Arabidopsis thaliana: one gene and its partner. The protein of the gene in region 1 interacts with the protein of each later gene in a pairwise test. Each region holds a gene or a part of one and is shown on either strand. Other genes may lie near its edges. The genes, in order: MYB74 and AT5G48430.

Region 1 (10,379 bases):
TGTAAATTTGAAATTCAAATTTTTGTTCTAAATTCAAGTTGCTAATTATATGTAAAATATTATTAAACATGTCTGGAAGGTGAACCAGACTACTTTAGATCATCGGGTTATGGATCATGAACTAGGTTCCAACACGGTTTAATTAAATAAAAATTTATTAAGGTATTTTTCATTTATAAAAATTAATATAGTTTTTTATCGAATGTCCCCAAAAGAACAAAGATTAATATAGGTTTATAAATGTAAATATAAAAATAATCATACATTAACAAAATATGAAGCCTAACGATTATAATAAAGTGACTAAATTTTTTAAATCTAACTAAAACCGAAAAAATACTAGAAAATCATTAGTAACTAAACTAAACTAGTAAAACATTAATTGCACGTTCCAAACTACCAGTATTAAGTTTCTACCAAAAAAAAAAAAAAAAAACCAAGATTGGTTGTTTCTCACCATTTTATCACTGATAGAAGTTCTTAAACTAATTAAATACACTAGAACCCTATATTTTATCCCAACCGGTCCATCGGATCACGTGGGGGTTAATGGCAAGTTATAATGGGTTGTCCGGTTTTAAATTGCCGAATATTAGCACTAAACCCAATCCGCGAACAGATTATTAACATTGACGAAATTGCCTATGCTCCTTATAGCATTCCAGCTCCTTTAAGCTAAGCGATGCCTTTTGCATTTGGTTAGCAACGAGAAGTTAATCTCTTTATCTTTCTTTCTATACTTCCAAATATTTCTATTCAAAGTGGCATATATTATAAACAAAGTTGTTTTGTTTGAAGAAAATTTATACATTCAGAAGAAAGAATAACAAGGTAAGGATAGTGTTTTTTAGGTTGTCCAGTCTCTGAGATTTCAGGTCTAGGGGATTCACCGTATCTCGTCCAGAAGCAGGTGAATTCGGACGCCGGACTTCCCGTCAACCGTTGTATCCACGTCTTTGTCATTATTTTAAATTCTTTTTCTTTTTTTTCTTTTTTTCTTTTTTTTTTTAATTTTAAATTTCCATTAGATAAAAAAGAACTTACAAGACACAAAATTCCAAACTAGGCACGCAGGCCAAAAAACATACACGGCCCAAAGGCCCAAAAAGGCACGCAGGTCCGAAAACTAACCCTGAGGCCCAAGAAGGAATAAGAGGGCCCAACAGAACATAAGAAACGCAAAGGAGGAAAAATTTACCTTAGTTGAAGTAGCGAAACCAAGTAGAAAGGAGAGAGTTGTCGGGGGCATCAAATTCAGAACGCCTAGAGAGAGGATCCAGCTTAGCTGTAAGGATGACCTTGATTTCCTTGATGATTGCAGTAGAAGAGCGGGAAGCGTGATCATGCAATCTACGGTTACGCTCTTTCCAAAGGAAGTAGATAGAAGCTTGAAACACTAGCTTGATGATGAGAGAAATGTTAGGATCACGAGAAGGAGATAAGACCCAAGTGAGGCAGTCCATAAAGAGAAGCGGAGGAGTTAAGCTTGCTCTAAACATGAAGTTACCCCAAACCGCAAAACTGACACCACATCCAAAGAACAAGTGCTCTCTAAATTCAGCATTTCCAGAGCAAAGGACACAATCCGAAGGAATAGAGAGACCCCACCTCCTCATGCAGTCTCTAGTATGAAGCCGATTCTAAGCAGTAACCCAAGTAATGAATGCGTGCTTTGGAATATGGTCCTTAAACCAAACCGACTTATGCCACACAACAGGACGGCCAGAAGGGTGAAGCGCTTGCCAAGTCAGAGCAGAGGAGAAAGAGTGAGAAGGAGGTCTTTGATCGACTTCATAGGTAATGATATCATTGCAACTAGGCAGGGCGTGCTTTGATCAAGGAGATGATGGGATTACGACTTCTAGAACCCATAACCCTCCACCTATCACCAGAAATTGCGTCTCTTACCACCGCCTTTTTTGGCAGACCTATCACCTGAAGACCCAAAGGACTCGTGAGATTTAAAAGAGAACCCAAACCAGTCTAATTATCGTACCAGAAACTAGCCGTAATAGCCAAACCCACTTCACACACCAAAAAAAGTCTCGCCAGACTACGAAGCTTACTCAACCGCTTCCAAATCCAACTCCCAGAGTTGTACGGATTCAAATCCAACTACCAGAGCTAAATTCTATTTCGTTATTTTAATATCATTAACACACCTCTATTATGAAACCTCCAAGAATAGAAACCACTAAGTTTAATAATTCAAATATTCTATATAGATATAGCTACTTTACTATGTGGCACATCAACTCCACAACTATTAATTCCGATATCGTATCGCACTCGCATATGTATTGTAATTTTCTATACATAAATAAATGTTATATACATAATTACGTATGTGTGTGTGGACTCTTGGTCTTTGTCTTTCAACTATTTAGAATTCAAATGGCTCGTTTCTGACGTATCAAAATCTGGAATAATGCGACGATAATCTCTACGTACGTGACTCGATTTATTTTAACATACATACTAATCAATCATATTTTATATTAAGAAAAATTAGGCAAGTATCGTGTATATATATATATATAGTATGTGGCTACATACTATTATTGCCCACATACAGTAAAACCTCTATAAATTAATACTCGATAAATTAATAACCTCTATAAATTAATAAATTCTTCCGGTCCCGAGTTGGGACCACTATAAAAATTGATACAAATCGATAAATTAATAAGATAATAATTATTTTGAAAATTTTATGTAAATATATGGTCCCATCAATATTATAAATTAATAATTGTATAAATTTATGAATATATATATATATATATATATTTATATTTATGAATATATATTATGTAAAACTTAGTAAAATATGACTTTAGTATTGTTTTTCTTCAATTTATATTAATTCTTTGTAAAATTCAATTCTAATAATTTTACTACGTATAAAAAAGATTTTTTTTTTAAACCTAATAATGGTTTTATACTTGTAATTGATTTTTAGAAAAATTATTGATTGTAGAGAGGAACTACCTTTTGGATTAAATTTTTGTAAAAAATTACAAATTTTTTAAAATCTCTCCATAAATTAATAATTATTAATTTATCGATAAATTAATACCTCTCTAAATTAATAAATTTTTGTACTATTATTACCTAGAAAGTGAAAATTGACCTACAAATATATCTTCAATTTGATTCACATATACGAAGTCACGTATGTTTCTATAAATTTAGATCCAAAATGTGTGAAAACCCATCTGTTTTTGCAAATTCTTGCAATTGCAATTGCACATGTTTCTATTACGTTTAAATCAATCGAGCTCTAAGTGATTTATCCATAGTGATATACAGATCCAATATCCATGAAACATATTTAATTCATGAAAAGGCTCAAACATTATCAACAAATAAGATATGGTCAACTATGTAGTAACTAGTAACACGTAGGCTGCTGCTCTTTGTGGCAAATTCATGCGCAAGCAAAGCCTCTAGATGTTTGACAAGTTACTACCCTAATATAGCATCACTAGCTATCTTCTAATTTTTTTTTTTAGTTATTTTAATCCTGTATTCTTTTATTTATTTATTTGATAAAGTGATGAAATTTTATTCTCCTTTTTCTTATCAACTAATATACTTATTCATTCACATAATTTCGCACTTTGCGGAGTTTTCATTTGTCGTTAAACCCGACAGATTCTTGAACCGCAAGGAACGAGACATTAACCTAATGTACTTATATTTAACTATAGTATTATAATAGCATAAATGTGACAATGATTCGATCACTACTAATATATTAATCACCAATCTATATCGTCGTCCTTCCTGATTATTTGAAGATTTTGTCTATAAACTAGCTGCTTTTGTTTATGTATTTTTATTACTTGGATGCTTTTGTTTGTTGGAATATTCGAATGAATTTTTGTTTGCCTGAAACTATGCATATATAATAAGGCCATATGCGCCAATAATATAGAATCCAAATATTCATTAACTATAATTAGTTTGTTCTAGAGTTTTAGCTACTCATATATTCAAATTCTTAGGAGATCAAAAAAGTACTTAATTAGTTAATAAAATCCATTTTTATTAGTTGTAATTAAATGTAAAGTGTCGAAACACGAAAGGGAAGATGAGTTGCACAACTCGTGGTTCCTATAAGAGTGATAATCTATCTGACGTCACGCCATGCAAAATGTATCAATCAATTTTCTTCTCACATTTATATTTACTTCAAAATGATTATAAAGCCACCCAATGAATAATAAGATATATATATATATATATATAACTCAAAATCAAAAATTTCAAATGGAATTTGGAAGCATCACAAATTCACAATCATGTATTCAAAATCTCACGTAGAAAAAGCTAATAAGTCCAAAAGATTGGTCTTCATTTTTTTCTTGAGAAAGTTTGATGGGATAGAGAGAGAGACAGAGAGGAACAGCTAAATTTGCTGTGTATGTATTTAATACTTGAACATTTATTTATCTATTTTCTTATACATCAAACTCACGAATTTATAGGTTGGTAATGTCGTTTTTATAACATTAATAAAAATTGCAATTGTAGTTTTTATTGAAATTTACCCAAAAAAAACTATTATACGAAAATATGTTATTTATTTAAAATTTGATATTAGATGAATCCAGAATCTTTTATAAAACTTGGTGTGTGTGAACCTGCGTTAATTTGTTAAATACTTTTCACGTAAAAATCAAAATTAATTTTAAAAGTTATGTTACCAAACAGTATTCTGATAGTTTTACAAATTTTATCCATTGTATATGTTTTGTTTTTGCAAAAAAGTCCAAAGGAAAAAACAAAGCAGAAGGGTTGAATTGTGAGGAAAGAGAGAGTACGTGGCATCATAACTTTGGCGACAGCTAATGTGAAAACAGCCAAAAGCTACGGAGAGCGACACTCCTCGACGACGTCCATGTCTCTTTAGATTGTGATTGCATTGTTAATTATCATATTTATCAATTGATTAGTTAAGTCTTAAGTATCATCACACAAGTTTATACATTAATCTATACAGTGTTTAACACTACAAAACTCCCCAAAATCACGTGTTTCATATCATACGTACATTTGTCTACCGTCTTTATTAACAATATTAAAACAGAATTTATCAATTTTCTAGTTGAATAGACTATATACTATTATAGAGACTCTTATAAATTATGAAACTCCTAATCAATTAAAAATAGTTAATTTGAAACATATCACTCGAAACTAGGGTATTAGTTGGATTGACGATATTTTTCTTATTAATATCAACGAGAAGAATCAAGTGTCGTTAGCTCAATTGGTAAAAAATTTAGGCAAAGCTTAGAGATGTCTATTTGAGTGACGCTTGGAACAAAAATTACATGCTATGGTTTCAGGCCTAGAGAAATGCTTCGATCCAGAATCTCTTGATATTCAAAAAAAAAAAAAAAATCAACAAGAAGAATGTATAAATGGTTTCTATACTATCTAAGTTATGAAAAATATTTTTGGTTACCCAAATTACAAGATTTGTACCGAAGTGTCACACTAGATTCACATGCATGCATAGTTATAATTAACTTAAAACATAAATGACTTACAAAAATACTTACAAACAAAAACCAAATTAAGTTATTTAGTGGCCAGCTTTGTTACTAGAGTTTTAGCCATTATCATAATTCACAATAAGGTGTAGGAAAAAACATTAATATATAGTATGTATACATCCAAAAAAAACTTTTTGGAAAAAACAAATTTTGGGATTATAAAGGACACGTAGCCCAATCGATGAACAGAGGACGGCACCGAATCAATTTGACTTCACCTTTTTTCCCCATATGATAAGAGTCTCATCTCTTTCCTATATATATTTCGTACCTCTCTTTAAGGACCCTACGTCTCTCTCTTTCTCTCTACTCTCTGTTTCCTCATAATTCAATCACTATATTTTTTTAAAAACATTTGACTTCATCGATCGGTTAACAATTAATCAAAAAGATGGGACGATCACCATGTTGTGAGAAGAAGAATGGTCTCAAGAAAGGACCATGGACTCCTGAGGAGGATCAAAAGCTCATTGATTATATCAATATACATGGTTATGGAAATTGGAGAACTCTTCCCAAGAATGCTGGTTAGTATACGTATCTTCATTATTACATTTTAATCATACTTTTTTTATTCGTGAATTGTCTTTTTAAAGTTTTGCTTGAATCTTGACTATAGGGTTACAAAGATGTGGTAAGAGTTGTCGTCTCCGGTGGACCAACTATCTCCGACCAGATATTAAGCGTGGAAGATTCTCTTTTGAAGAAGAAGAAACCATTATTCAACTTCACAGCATCATGGGAAACAAGTGAGTTTGAACTTTTCAATAATTTTATATTTTTGCCATTACGTAGTTTATACGAAAACTACTAATCTTGTAGATTAGTCTTAGAGTCATAGCTTTGAATGATGTTACTAGTGATTTATGTTAAATCTACAATGCATCAGATTCTAACTTTGTTTGCTTTCGTATAGGTGGTCTGCGATTGCGGCTCGTTTGCCTGGAAGAACAGACAACGAGATCAAAAACTATTGGAACACTCACATCAGAAAAAGACTTCTAAAGATGGGAATCGACCCGGTTACACACACTCCACGTCTTGATCTTCTCGATATCTCCTCCATTCTCAGCTCATCTATCTACAACTCTTCGCATCATCATCATCATCATCATCAACAACATATGAACATGTCGAGGCTCATGATGAGTGATGGTAATCATCAACCATTGGTTAACCCCGAGATACTCAAACTCGCAACCTCTCTCTTTTCAAACCAAAACCACCCCAACAACACACACGAGAACAACACGGTTAACCAAACCGAAGTAAACCAATACCAAACCGGTTACAACATGCCTGGTAATGAAGAATTACAATCTTGGTTCCCTATCATGGATCAATTCACGAATTTCCAAGACCTCATGCCAATGAAGACGACGGTCCAAAATTCATTGTCATACGATGATGATTGTTCGAAGTCCAATTTTGTATTAGAACCTTATTACTCCGACTTTGCTTCAGTCTTGACCACACCTTCTTCAAGCCCGACTCCGTTAAACTCAAGTTCCTCAACTTACATCAATAGTAGCACTTGCAGCACCGAGGATGAAAAAGAGAGTTATTACAGTGATAATATCACTAATTATTCGTTTGATGTTAATGGTTTTCTCCAATTCCAATAAACAAAACGCCATTGGAATAGAGTTATGTAAACATGCAATCATTGTATTTGTTATATAGATTTTGTTACATATCCAAAATCCAAAATACTATAGTTTTAAAATATTTATTACTAAAGTATATTCGTCAAGGGGAAAGCAACATCCCACCAGTAAACAATATAAAGCTCAGCTCATAACATTGTTTTAATGATGGAGTTTCTATTATTGGTATCTATCTACTCTTTTGTTTAATATTTGTGGTCGGCTTTTCTTCTACATAAATGCATGGAGATCGTATCAACGATCATATTAAAATATGATTCGAAGATATATACTATAATTGATATCATACATGGTGCTGAAATGTTATCGAAATAGAAAGGTAGATAAATAATTGATAGTGAATAATTATATCATTGACTTATTATCTCTTGTTTCTCTGAAGAAATAAACTAATGATAATTTATGAACCAAAACAATACTAATAACAAATGTTTTGAAATGGAAGTGGGCCATTAAGTCAATCAAAAATTTGCACAATTTCACTAGAACCAATCAAAATGCACGAAAAACTTTCTATTTTGACCACCAGAGAAGTCTTACGAATTTACTAACCGGAATCCGGCGAGACTGGCCGGAGCGTGAACTAGAAGTACACGTGGTATGGTAGCGTACGTGTGCAATTGGGGTCAGATCACGGGACACAATCTAATGACCAGACGCCACTTGTACGACACGAAAGCAATAAGTGGAAAACGTAAGGAAAAAGTTGAAAGAAAAAGCTCGTTTTAATTGAAATCACGGTTTGTGTTAATTAATCACCTTTAACACGTGTTGTACGGAGAGCCAACTGAGAGTGGGGACGCGTGGGGACAAAGCAGCATGTGTAAACACGAACGTCGGCATTTTTTGGGATGAGCTGTTTGTTTTGACCCCTTGTTCGGTTTTTCCAGTGGATCTTTTATTACGTATAGAGTCAACATTTTTTATAAGAATAAATTATTGTGGTAATTAAATAAACCTTGTTTTTTTCATTAAATAAAAACTTGTTTAGTAAGAGAAATTTCATATTATTTTCTTTGGTTTTAATGCTAAGAGTCTTAACGAAATTAAACAATTACATATCTTGCCAATTTTGAATGCTTAATTTGCAACTAGAATAAATTGTATATATCTAGTTTTACTTTTTTTTTTCTTTACTTTTTTTTGGTAAAATATATAGTTTTATTTTTGAATTGACGGAAACGTAAGTGGGTTAGTTGAGTTGTTTCTTTTTTATATATACGTAATTAGATATAAACGTGCGGTATACCGTAGATACTCTTATATTTTAGTTAAACTAAAATTTTTTATTGTAAAAGTGATTTATAAATATATAATATTATTTTATGGATTTTAAATGTATAGTAAACTGCTAGTTGTATATTTTTGTTGATATTATTTATATTGTTCAGTATTTAAGATTATACACTTGTATTTAATTGTTAATTTTAGAGTTTCACCTATAATTACCATCTTGTATTAATATTGATTTAAACCCGTCAATTCTAAGATTTTCAAGCTTGTATTAAAAATTGAATCACATCATACACATAAAAAAATCTAATATGTTATTAATTATTATAGTATATAAGATTATAAATTTTCAAAATAATATGTATGAAATTGAATATAAATATTTAAATTATAACCCGTTACTTAGTAGAAAGTTTTCTAAAATCTATTTTTGACCTGTTATAATATTTTTTCATGTATTGAACAGTTTATATTCGTTTTTAAAAATATAAATCATGGCACATGCGAAAAGCTAATTATTCTTTTATAACAATAATATTATTTTTTCGCAAAAATAGAATCATATAAAGATGAGAGATGAACTATAATAATTAATAAAAAATTAATATGATAATTTAGATATCAAATCTAATTTGTTGATTTTAATTAGTTATTTTTTTTGGAAATTAATAATGTATTTCGTTTGTCTAATTAAATTAAATTAATTAAAATTTGGATATCAAATCTTATATGTTGATTTTGATTGGTTACTTTTTTAGAAATTAAAAATGTATTTTGTTTTTTAATTAAATTTAATTAATTAAATTAGTATTTGACTTTTTAATATTTAAAAAGATGAATTATTTTACTCTTTGAAATTTTATTTTTAATTGCATACCTATGTAATTACTTACAAAAAATATGGTTATTTTATTATGTATTTCCCAATAATAGTATAGGATTATGTTAGCATATATTTACAATGTTACCACATTTGATTTTATTTTTAATATCTTTTGTTAGCAATTTTTACTGAATGTTGAAACTTGTCAAATGTCACTATTCATCACGATTTTCAGTTTGAGCGAGATTTTTATCGATTTTTTTGGAAACTTTAAAACACTGTCGTCATAGTATACTTTTTTCTAAACATCAAATTTCCAGGACTATAATAAGAGACTATAATAAAAGCTTATAACAATAAATTATTAGCAAGTTTTAACAAGAAAAATTAAAATCTTTCATATGTTTTAGGCACCCTTAAAAATAATTTCCTTAATTGTTATTGGCCAACTTTTAATATTATACAGTATAACCTCTATAAATTAATACTCTATAAATTAATAACTTCTATAAATTAATAAATTTTTCCGGTCTTAAGTTGGAACCAGTGTAAAAAGTGACACAAACGATAAATTAATATGATAATAATTGTTTTGAAAGTTTTATGTAAATATATGGTCCCATCAATATCGTAAATTAATAATTGTATAAATGTATCAACTACATATATATTATATGTAAAACATAAAACATTTCCTTATAATATATTTTTAATATTTTTTTGCTTAAATTCATATTTGTTCTTTGTTTGAATATAATTATCATAGTTTACTGTATCAAAACTGTTGGTGTTGTTTGTAGACATTATTATTATATTTTCAATAATGAAAGAAATTTTATAGAAATTTTTAAAAAGTTACCAAAATTTTGAAAATCTTTTTATAAATTAATAAATATTAATTTATCGATAAATTAATACCTTTCTAAATTAATAAAATTTTGTAGTCCCAATATTATTAATTTATAGAGATTTTACTGTATATATAAACTCTAAAGTTTTAAATCTAAAGTCTAACTTCGACACCATAAATAGTTGGCTTAAACTACACCACAACTTGTTTCGTGGCAAGTCTATTACCGAAAAAAAGAA
Region 2 (10,234 bases), on another chromosome or scaffold:
CGGATGGAGAAACAAAGATCGTGTTCCTCTCTCTGAATAATTGAAGAGAGAGAAGAGAGAGAAATTGATCTTTTCCCCTTCCAACCGAATCAATCTAATATCCGGTTTATTGACATTAGTTCCAAAATCAAAATCAAACCTAGTAAGAAATCCGAAATGCCGGTCAGTTGTGGGCTTTCAGTTTGGGCTGGGCTAATAAAATTAATGAGCCCATAAGCTTTTTCAAAGAGAAGAAAGGAGAAGAGAGAAACCCTAATCTCTATTCTCTCCCAATCTTATATATAATCTCTCTTCTTTCTCTTCTTCTACAACGCCTTTCTCTCATGTCTCTAAATTAGCTACTCTTTCAAAATTTTGCAGCTTAAACGAATCGTAAAGTACTCCTTTGTTGTTTTTTTGGGTCTGTAGTTTTTTTTTTTTTAAAGCAAGTCTCAGCTTCTTTGATTGGGTCAAGATATTCACGATCCAATCAATTTTATGAAAATCATAACTTGCGAAATAGAAATCGGCAGTATCACTCGCCTGGATCTGATTATAATCATGATTATCCAGGCCCTTAATCTACTGGCACAATCTTTTGAAATTAGATTTTGTTGTTGTTGTTTTGGGCAAACGCACTCTGTCCCAAGACCATTAATTCCATGTTTTGGTGCAATTTCTTCGTTTGCTAAATTGATCTGTACTCCAATTTTAATCATGTCCTCGGGATTATTCTCTGTGATCCCTATATGGGCACATGATTGGTTTACTATACTTTGATTCTTTCGATACCAAATAGTTTTACATAAATCGTTTTTTAGGAGTTAGTTTGTTATTTGAATTGATATGTTTATATCTTTGCAGAAGAATAAATCTTATCTGGTGTACGATTTATGTGATACAGTCACCAAGGACGGTAATTGTTTTCGGATTTAGGTTTAATGAACGGCTTAGGATTAAACTTGAAACATCTAATGAATCTTTGAATAGATTATGTGAGAACATGCCTTGAAGAACATTTGATTTTGACCTTTCGAACGAATAACTTATATATCCAAAAAAATTACTCAATTCGTATATCCCGTAATTTCCCAATCTGAAGATTATAACCAAAATCAAGAGGCACGTATCTAAGACTAAATGTGTCATAACTCACTGAAATTGTTGTTGAAGAAGAACAGAAGATACTGATGATGATGGATAAAAAAACAAAAAGAAGATACTAATGATGGAAGTCCTTCAGTTGATGAACATAATACTGAATTATTGATGATGAAAGTCCTTCAATTAGACGTTTGGCTTTCTATCATTTAGGCCCATATATTCCGGGTATGAAGCCGGATCCTATAGCCCGTTGGTATTTGAACGGGTCAAGTACGGATCAGATACTATGACATATTGCCACGGGTTTGGCGCTTTTTAGAAAGATAAGAGATGCATTAGTCGGGACTCGGGCGGTATCTTCGGCGCTATAATTTTAATTGGGCTTTTAATGGGCCTGAATCTTTTGGGCATATTATCCATTTATGTTTGGAAGGTGCATCAACCTTTTTTGAAAGTATACATGCAGTATAGTATTCATCGCATTCTTGTTTTTTTATTTTTTTTCCCTGTTGTCTATTTGAAGTCGTTAATTTTTTTCAGTTTAACTGGTTTTTATTATGAACTACATTGAGAATTTAGAAGAAAGAGTGCTTCATGTATTAAACCAATTGATGATATATTCTAGGGAAAAAACCTCACTAACCAAAAACTTAATTAAATAAACAAACCCACTTGAAACCAATTAATATTACATATATTAAAACATTCGTCAATGTTTTTCGGTATATTGAAGAAAGGGATTAAAATCTTCAAGATTCGCATGGACTAAGGAGTGTAAATTAATGAAACGTAAATGCTGCTTCATTGATTAACTTCTGCAAAGATGTCACAAATTCATATGACACCTAAAGATTATCGTTCATACTATACAAAAGTAAATATCGATTTACAAAGATTGCAGAAACTAAACCATACAAGAACAACTGAAATCATGTACAATCTTCAATATTCTTCATGGTTGTACGTAACTACTCTTATCAAACTAACTCTTCTTCATTGATTCTTCTCTAAATATCGATTTACAAGATTCCAGAAACTAAACAATCCATGAACAACTAAATCAAATCCTCAAAAGACATCCAAATTTCAACACAGAAACTATCCAAAGTAACGCAAATCTGAAATGAGCCAAGAAACAACTTTTTACAACGATCTTTAAGTCAAATCAGCACCTGAATTTGATATCGAGTCCATGCTTGCCATGAACACACCCAGGTTTCAACTGCGAATACGAATACTTCTTCTTCTTCAACGTAACGTTTTTCCAGAATGTTCTCTTTCCCGTTTTCCTAATCCTCTGAATCTTTACCAGCTCATGATCATCATCGAGATCATCATAGTAGTCAAAGTCATCTTCTTCATCAGTATCATAACCATCGCGATTGATACCATCTTTAACAGAATAACGTGAATCTTCACAAAGAGAGACCATCCTCGAGCAAATACAACCTCCGTCGACGCGATCACCAGAAGTAACCGGAGATGAAACAGAGTACGACGAATCTTTCGTGGAAGTGACAGTATCGGAGAGAGTCTCGAAGTTGAAGGTGAGGGAAGTGAGTGACTTGAAAGTCTCGAGGTCGAGAATCGCCATTTTTTGTTTTCTTGCTTCTTTTGTGATTTTTGATTTTTCACTCACAGAGGAAGAATAAGAAGTTTGTTACAATTTATAGTTTCGAGTTCAACAACATGCAAAAATAGACAAGGAAGAGATATTGGCCGTTTTGTATCTTCTTGTTAGACATGCGTGCTGTTTGTACTACGTGAACAAAAACGTCATGTAGTTTGTAGGTAGAATCGCATAACGGAATGTAGTTTAAAGAAAGCAAAACCTTCTCATGTAGTGTTTGTTCTTCATATGCTTTGGATTGGAGAATCGGATTTATGGGTTTAACACAAGAAAATCAAATAATTCCGACTTTAGTTTACAACTTTTTTGTATTATTACACTGACATTGACATATATCGTTGTACTCAATTAGAAACTTAAAAAGTGCAAAAATGAACGATCCTTGGATTGAACATAATTTGGGATTTTTCACCACTGAAAAAAATCCATTTATAAGCCATTTAAGTTTTAAGATTAGATACGTAGCACTTTGAATGAGAGTCTTATATATTAAGATGCTTGATTTTTAATTAGGTAATTTTATCTGGTGGTTTTTCGAAAATATCTTGCCATACCAACATACTGTAATTAGAGATGTACTAGAGTTAGCTCATCCCACTTGTAGTTTTGTGAAAAAGGAGCTAACCAAGTAGCTGAGGTATTTGCTAAATCTGCAAGAAGTCACTTCACTAACTACATATCGTTTAGTAGTCATAGTAGTTTAAACTTATATAACCCCTTTAATATAATGACATGGTTTGACGAAAAATAACCAAATAAATCACTAATAGTAACAAAGGAAGTAAGAAAAAAATCATCAGCAATAATTGACATGGTTTATCAAACTTATGTAACATCTTTAATATTATATAAAGTGAAATGACTTGTCGACGCAACTTATATATTAAGGTTCATTAATAATAAGATAAAACTTTAGTGTTTTATTACATTCTTTGACATTCGTCATTGACTAAATTTTTTAAAACCACACTTGACATGAATGTTACATAACAAATGAAGCCAGAGTACTGACAAATAAATATTCAATCACAAGATAATGTCAACTATCAAGTTGTTTTGACATTCTCATGGCCGTGTTTGAAAGTCGCCGCATGAAGCGCTGACCAAACCCAAAGAAGAACTAAATCCAAAAGCAGATCTTCCAACGTCAAACTCCACCAAAGTATTTTCCATCTGATGTATTCCTATCATCACCGCCTGCGCCGCCGCATCTCCTCCGTTGACAAAAGCCAAGCAAGCCACGTCATCGCTGACCTTCTTCATCGCGTTTGCGGGAGACAATTTCCAAATCACACCATTAGCTAGCTCTAGATCGATCCTAGGCACTTGGAAATTTGTCGTCGTCGAAAGACAAAACTCAAAGGGTGTCGTGCTACTGACACGTGGAATACCCGATGTGGCTTGTGAGAATGCTTCGATAAAGACTCTGTATATGTCGCTTCGTAACATAGTGAAAGGGAATATGGTGCTTAGAGTAACGCCTCCATCACCGTTGCGGTCAAAAGCAAAAGCGTTTGGGGCAAACAAGATCCTATTCCCGTTAACGGAAATACCCTTGAGTCCCAAGAAATAGTTGTTGAGTTTTCTAGGGTTTGTAATCAATCGAGTGTAAGAGAGCATAGATCTTGCATCAATGTTTCTGAGCTTGTACGGACCTCCACCAAAGTAAATAGCACCTTTTTTCAAAGGGTTTTCATCAGAAGGAAGACACAACGCAAACTTCTTCTCGAGTCCGAGTCTAGGTCGAGTCAGCTGGTTCCAAGTGGCGAGAGCCGTAGGTGCAAGCCCCGCAAGGCCGAAAACACCGGGAGGGAAGTCTACAAGGAACGGTTGGGGGATGCATAGGTAATAAACGTTGTTGATCGTGACCGAAGGAGATATAGGTTTTAGAGAAGAGATGGATAAATCTCCATAGGTGAATTGGTCAGAGTTACATATACGTTGGAATGGCTCAAAAGCGGTTGCTTGGCAAGCACATACTCCATTGATGATTTTGTTGCTGGGAAGAGAGCATTGGTGAGGAGTGAATCTACGAGTTAGAGCACATACGGGGGAGCCACAAGGGACGATGGGACGAGGGAGACCATCGTTGCATTTACGGACAAGATAGGGACCGCCGATGTGAATGAAAAACTCTTGGTTTGTGTTGAGTGTGAAGGTGAAGATAGGCAAGATTGTGTTCTTAGAGACGGTTGATACTAAGGCTTTAGGTGGATAGTAATTAGCCGAGACGTAACTATAAGTAAAAAACAAAATGAGACAGAGGACAAGAAGACTCTTTTCCATCTTTTGCGTGTTTGTGTTTAAGATTGTTGGAAAGTTTTAAGATATGGATATAATTACTAGGAGAATTAAGAACGTATATATAGCTAATTAGAGTTGACATTTTAACATATAGACATCACACACGTTAATATGTACGAACTTGTACACACAATAATACGGTCCGACCAGAACAACTAGATATATATATTTTAAAAGATTACTATATGTATATCAAGTTGACATAGGAGGGCCAACCATTTAGGCAAAGCCAGTCCTATATGTATGTCAAGTTGATAGATAAATTTAAAAACTACTGATGGATGTAGATGGTCATAGACTCAAAAGACTTATACGTTAATAAGAAAAAGAAAAAACTTCAACTAGCATCACTACTTGTGGTTTTATATGTTTGTTGACAATTAATATTATATATATAGATATATTGAAATAAATAAATAGCAATAGTTTGAATATGGAATGTGATAATCACTGATTTGAAAGTTTTCTAGGATATGATAACCATGTGCGCATTTTTGGTCAAATTCGAATGACATATCTTTGCTAATATGCGTATAAATGGTTAAATTATTGTTTGAGAATATTTTGAATGGAACATATTTGTAATCAACCGTATTAAAAATAGATCATGCATGTCGAAAGCTAGAGAAAAAGTCTGGTTTAAAGACGTAGAATTAGAATTGGTCTTAGTATACTAAAACCGGACTAAACCAACACTAGATTTATGTAGCTCATAGACATTTCCTTTAAGACCCCGTTTATAGCAACCACAATGCTTAAGAGGATTCACTCTCTTAACTAAACCAAACTGCTTCTATTTCATCAGCAACAACGACGCCCTTTAACCCCAAACGTTGAAGTATCCACTTGTGATGGTTTTCCTAGTACCATGTCCGTTACCATTTCCGCTGTTGCTAGAGCCTAAACGATTTCAAGAAACCGTGAATCATGATTGGGTTCTTGAGAAAGGTGTTAGAGGATTAGAATGAATGTTACTTACCATGGAAAGTCCACCTCCTTCATGCCCAGCTGCTAAGTACATGTTTTGTAATCCGGGCACGGATCCTATCACTGGCTTCCCGTCAGGCACTATGATCAGTTAAAAGAAAAGTTCAGGTTTTGTGAACATTCCAAAGGCCGGCTTCAAGTACTTTTGGTTTGGAGCATTAGATGCAAGAAGCTTACTGTAAGGGCGCAACCCGACTCTCACTTTCCTGTTACGGATGAAATCTTCGAGGGAAATATCACGTAACTTAGGAAAGAATTCTGCAGCACGCTCCCATATGCAACGGATGATAAACTCATCAGCTTCAGTGTCGAACCCGACAAACTCACGGCTGCTCCCTGAAATTAGAGATGGCTAAATGAAGATAAGAGATATATTGTGTGTGACTGATAAATATGTTAAGCACACATAATAAGAAGAACATGGATTTTAGTGGACATAGATTGATGAAATTACCAAGAACAAGGTTTCCTGATGTGTCCATTGTGGCTGTCATGGAAATAGATAGCATCCGTTCATCGACATCCAATCCTGAAACTGAAGCACTTTGATGATTCGAGTAACCAGCCTCCATTATCCCATGATTTAAGTGGAATGAATCAAAGTTCTCTACCACAAGCAGATGCCCCTGCAAGGCAAAGTTGGATACTGCAATTTAAAAAAATACCAAAGCAGTCCATTTCAAGAAGCTTGCAAAGGATCTTCACGACAAATAAAGATATACTTGCTGCTCTTAAACAATAATATCCTCAAGAACTTGGCTTGCCAGAATTTTGACACCTCGTGATGACAAAGATACACTTCAATATAGAGATTTAAAACGAGGGAATATAAATTGGGCAATCAGACGAGACTTCAAACCTTTCTTGGCTTCACCGGAACGTCCAGCGGAATGTTGCAGTCTTTAAGCAATTCATGCATCAGAGATCCACTCCAGCAACCAGCAGCTACTATAGTAGCCTTCTTACCATACAAGTTGCGTTTCAAAGTCTTAACGCCAGCAACCACCTTGCTATCCCCATCAGACCTGAATAGAAATACTATTAATAAAACTCTAGTAGAAGAAAGATTAGTAGCGTCCACTGAAGATTTACATAGATTTGGATGAATTTGTTTTTGTGTTTCAGCCTCTTAATTTAAGGTAACAAAATTAGGACACAGCCATGGTTTTTAGTATACAGATATGTATGTTATATCGATGCCTAGATTGGAGAATGCATTTTTAATTTTTGGTTCAGAAAAGTTCTGATTCAGCTACAAAGATTACCAACCTTATTAAACCTGTAACTGGTTCATTATAGAACTCGGCATATCTGCCTGCTGTTGCAAACGCTCTATTACCCTGAGTAACTCAAATAAAACTAAGTAAACCACAAAAGAAAAGTGTCAGATGAGACATTCAACTATCAAATAAATACATAAAAAGCAACCTTCTCGATATAAGCAACCGCACGATGGGCGTCCAACTGTGAATCATCAGGAAGAAATGCAGCACCAGTATTATCATTTACAAGTATCGCAGGCTCCTTTAACAACAACTCAGCACTAGACAAATATTCAGTTCTTAACCCAGCTTCAGATAGCTCATGAACCTTTTGCTTCAGAGCAACACATTCCTCAGTGGTCCTACCAATGAGCAAGCTTCCTACAAGTGACAACAATACACTGAACTATATCATCTATTTTCGTTGACAAACAGAACGTAACTAATGGTGTATATATCATCTATTTTCGTTGACAACAATACACTGAACTATTATTTTTGTTGAACACGACGAAAATGACATTGCCAAAAGAACCTAACTAATAGTGTATAGAACCCAATAGACTAAAGTGAAGAAAGAATCAACACAAGATCATGATCAACAAAGTCGCTCAAAGAGCTCCAAATTCTATACAAACGTAAAGTGGGTAGTCAGTAAAAACCTGTCTTTTTCCAGCCAAGCAACTCTTCAGGATCAAGACCATCATCAGTCAAGCTCTCTGCAAGCTTGTGCCAGAGTTCATGGCTCCTCAAGGTCAAGTCCCACACATCACTGCCTGGTTTCTTGTGTGTCATCCATATATATCCCTGCCCTGAAATCCAAAAACCACAAATTTCAAGTTAAGTCAACTTCATTCACTTCAAGAGTCCAGCTTTATTTGCAGAATCCATAGGTAATGTACTAATGTCAATCGTCAGATCCAATTTGTAAGAGAAGGGTTGAGAATTACCGGCACCGGTGGCGCCGGAGCAAGGTACGGCTTTATCGACAACAGCAACAGATAGATCCGACCCGGTAAGGAATTGGCGGGCTATGGTTAACCCAATGATCCCACCACCTACAACAACAACATCGAAGGAGCTACGAGAAGCTGTGACACGTAGTGACAGAGAAGCTCCATGTTGGGTTCTCTTGGTGGAGCTCCGAGATGAAAATGGGTAGCTCAGTGGTGTTAAAAAGGTGGGTGATTGAAGGAAAATGGAAACCATTGGAGAAGAAGGTTTTTGGTATCGTAAAGGTTTGAACTTTCAAAAGTCAACGTAAGAATTAGCAAAGTATTACACTTCAGTTTTATTATGTGCCAATTACTATCTCAGTGCTTCTTCACATTTCCACCTACTAATCATCTTCTTGTAATATGGAGTTAATCATCCAAGTAGGAACATGAATCCAAGTTCCTCAGACATGAATCTAATATGATATCCGATCCCGGTTTTTTTCGGATATCCGATCCGTTTCTACAAGACTCAGGTCTGTCTGTGCCTTGGCAGTAGAATCAAGAATCTTCTTAGTATTACAAAGACGATTGATGTCTTCTCACCAAGTTCTATTACAAAATCAAGCCTTACAGCATAACATTATATTGATGGTAGATTAAACACTACGCATAAACAACAAACACCTCATCTGTGATCTTCAAGCTTCTACTGTGTTATACCAACACTATGATCTTCTGAAATGATGGGAGTGGCATTGCAGTTTTGCTACAATCAGGCCCGAAAAGCTCAGAATCGTTATCTTGCTAAACTACTTACTAAGATTGCAAAAAGAGCGAGGAGAATCCCTCTGCTTGTTACAAAGATGGATCGCTGTGATCCGGAGAAGTTTACCCTCTGTGCTTGATCTCTGCAAAAATAACAAGACACAGGTCAGTGACTGAGAAAGCCAACCTAAAAGCTAATTCCTTTTCTAGACTTACTTTTGTAATGGTGAGAGCCGACCACAATATATAGAGTTTTTAGGAACGGAATTCTCAGATGAGTCAATGTCAATCTCTGGATTAACCACACTCAAGTATAGTTCTTGGCCAAGATACCATGAGGCTAGATTGTCTATTCGAAGGTTCCACATGCCAGCATTGTCCAAAGAAACCAAGACGGCCGTCCATGCACCAGGAAACACCTGTAAACAAATTAGCCGTTTAAAACCACATAGAAACACATGTAACATTTCGGTTTCAGGTGTTAAGTCATAAAACCTGCGTAGTAGATCGAGCAACTGCATCACCCTTGTTGTATGTGCTTCTGCTATTTTCTGTCCACAGACCAAAGTCCATCCTTCAAGACAAACATCATTCTTTAACTTTACAATCACATTGTCCATTATCTTTCAACGTCTGGTCATGTAAATGGATCTAATATAACTAATGGAACCTTACCCAACAACAAAAAATGCATAACCATCCAAGTGGTAGCTCTTAACAGTGGTGTCACTATTTTGAAATATGATTTCCACGAATCCCTTGAACGTGCCGTTTATGACTGAGGTATCAACCCTGGGATGCCTATTCATTGGCCTTTTTGGGAAATCCAACTTGTATACCCCTGAGATGTTGTATTGCTGAGCAAGCTTTAGGGGTGTTGCAGGAGGTAAGTATGATATACCATTAAGAGTTGCACGCAATCGTCCCTCTATCATCTCTGGTGGTCGGTTGACAATCACATACACATCAGTTACTGTAATCTGGCCATATTTGAAAGATCCCTGCGGGTTTGGACGGGCAGCTCCAGATGACAAATTCAACCTACCAAACAGCATTTTCCCATCAGCAACAAGTAAATATTGCAGTTTTGAATAGAAATAGAAAAGGGGTACCATTCTAGCCAAGATATTTCCTAGTATGAAACATAACTATACATAGTCGTTAACAACCTTAAGGATCGTGCTTGGTTCATTGAGAAAAATGTGTCCAACTCAATAGGAGGATCAGGGAGTGGACCTGAAGCGGGTCCTTGGGAATTAGAGTAG

The links.
Region 2: the proteins of MYB74 (region 1) and AT5G48430 interact in a two-hybrid assay, tested with the Arabidopsis thaliana proteins (one large-scale study listed by BioGRID).

Annotation. Positions count from the first base shown.
Region 1 is NC_003075.7:2,612,599-2,622,977, forward strand, and holds MYB74 (myb domain protein 74), read left to right. Parts: upstream 1-5,773; 5' UTR 5,774-5,958; coding exon 5,959-6,094; intron 6,095-6,186; coding exon 6,187-6,316; intron 6,317-6,483; coding exon 6,484-7,192; 3' UTR 7,193-7,349; downstream 7,350-10,379. Other genes in the region: AT4G05095 (non-LTR retrolelement reverse transcriptase), read right to left, coding at 1,200-1,616; AT4G05097 (uncharacterized protein), read left to right, coding at 1,417-1,626, 1,718-1,797, 1,824-1,965. UniProt on the Arabidopsis thaliana protein: Probable transcription factor that may function in salt stress response.
Region 2 is NC_003076.8:19,624,114-19,634,347, forward strand, and holds AT5G48430 (Eukaryotic aspartyl protease family protein), read right to left. Parts: upstream 5,055-10,234; 5' UTR 5,000-5,054; coding exon 3,779-4,999; 3' UTR 3,521-3,778; downstream 1-3,520. Other genes in the region: AT5G48420 (uncharacterized protein), read right to left, coding at 2,249-2,677; AT5G48440 (FAD-dependent oxidoreductase family protein), read right to left, coding at 5,819-5,917, 5,997-6,085, 6,182-6,340, 6,459-6,630, 6,864-7,029, 7,274-7,344, 7,433-7,647, 7,929-8,078 and 1 more; sks3 (SKU5 similar 3), read right to left, coding at 8,678-8,799, 9,018-9,112, 9,186-9,388, 9,465-9,543, 9,645-10,010, 10,139-10,234.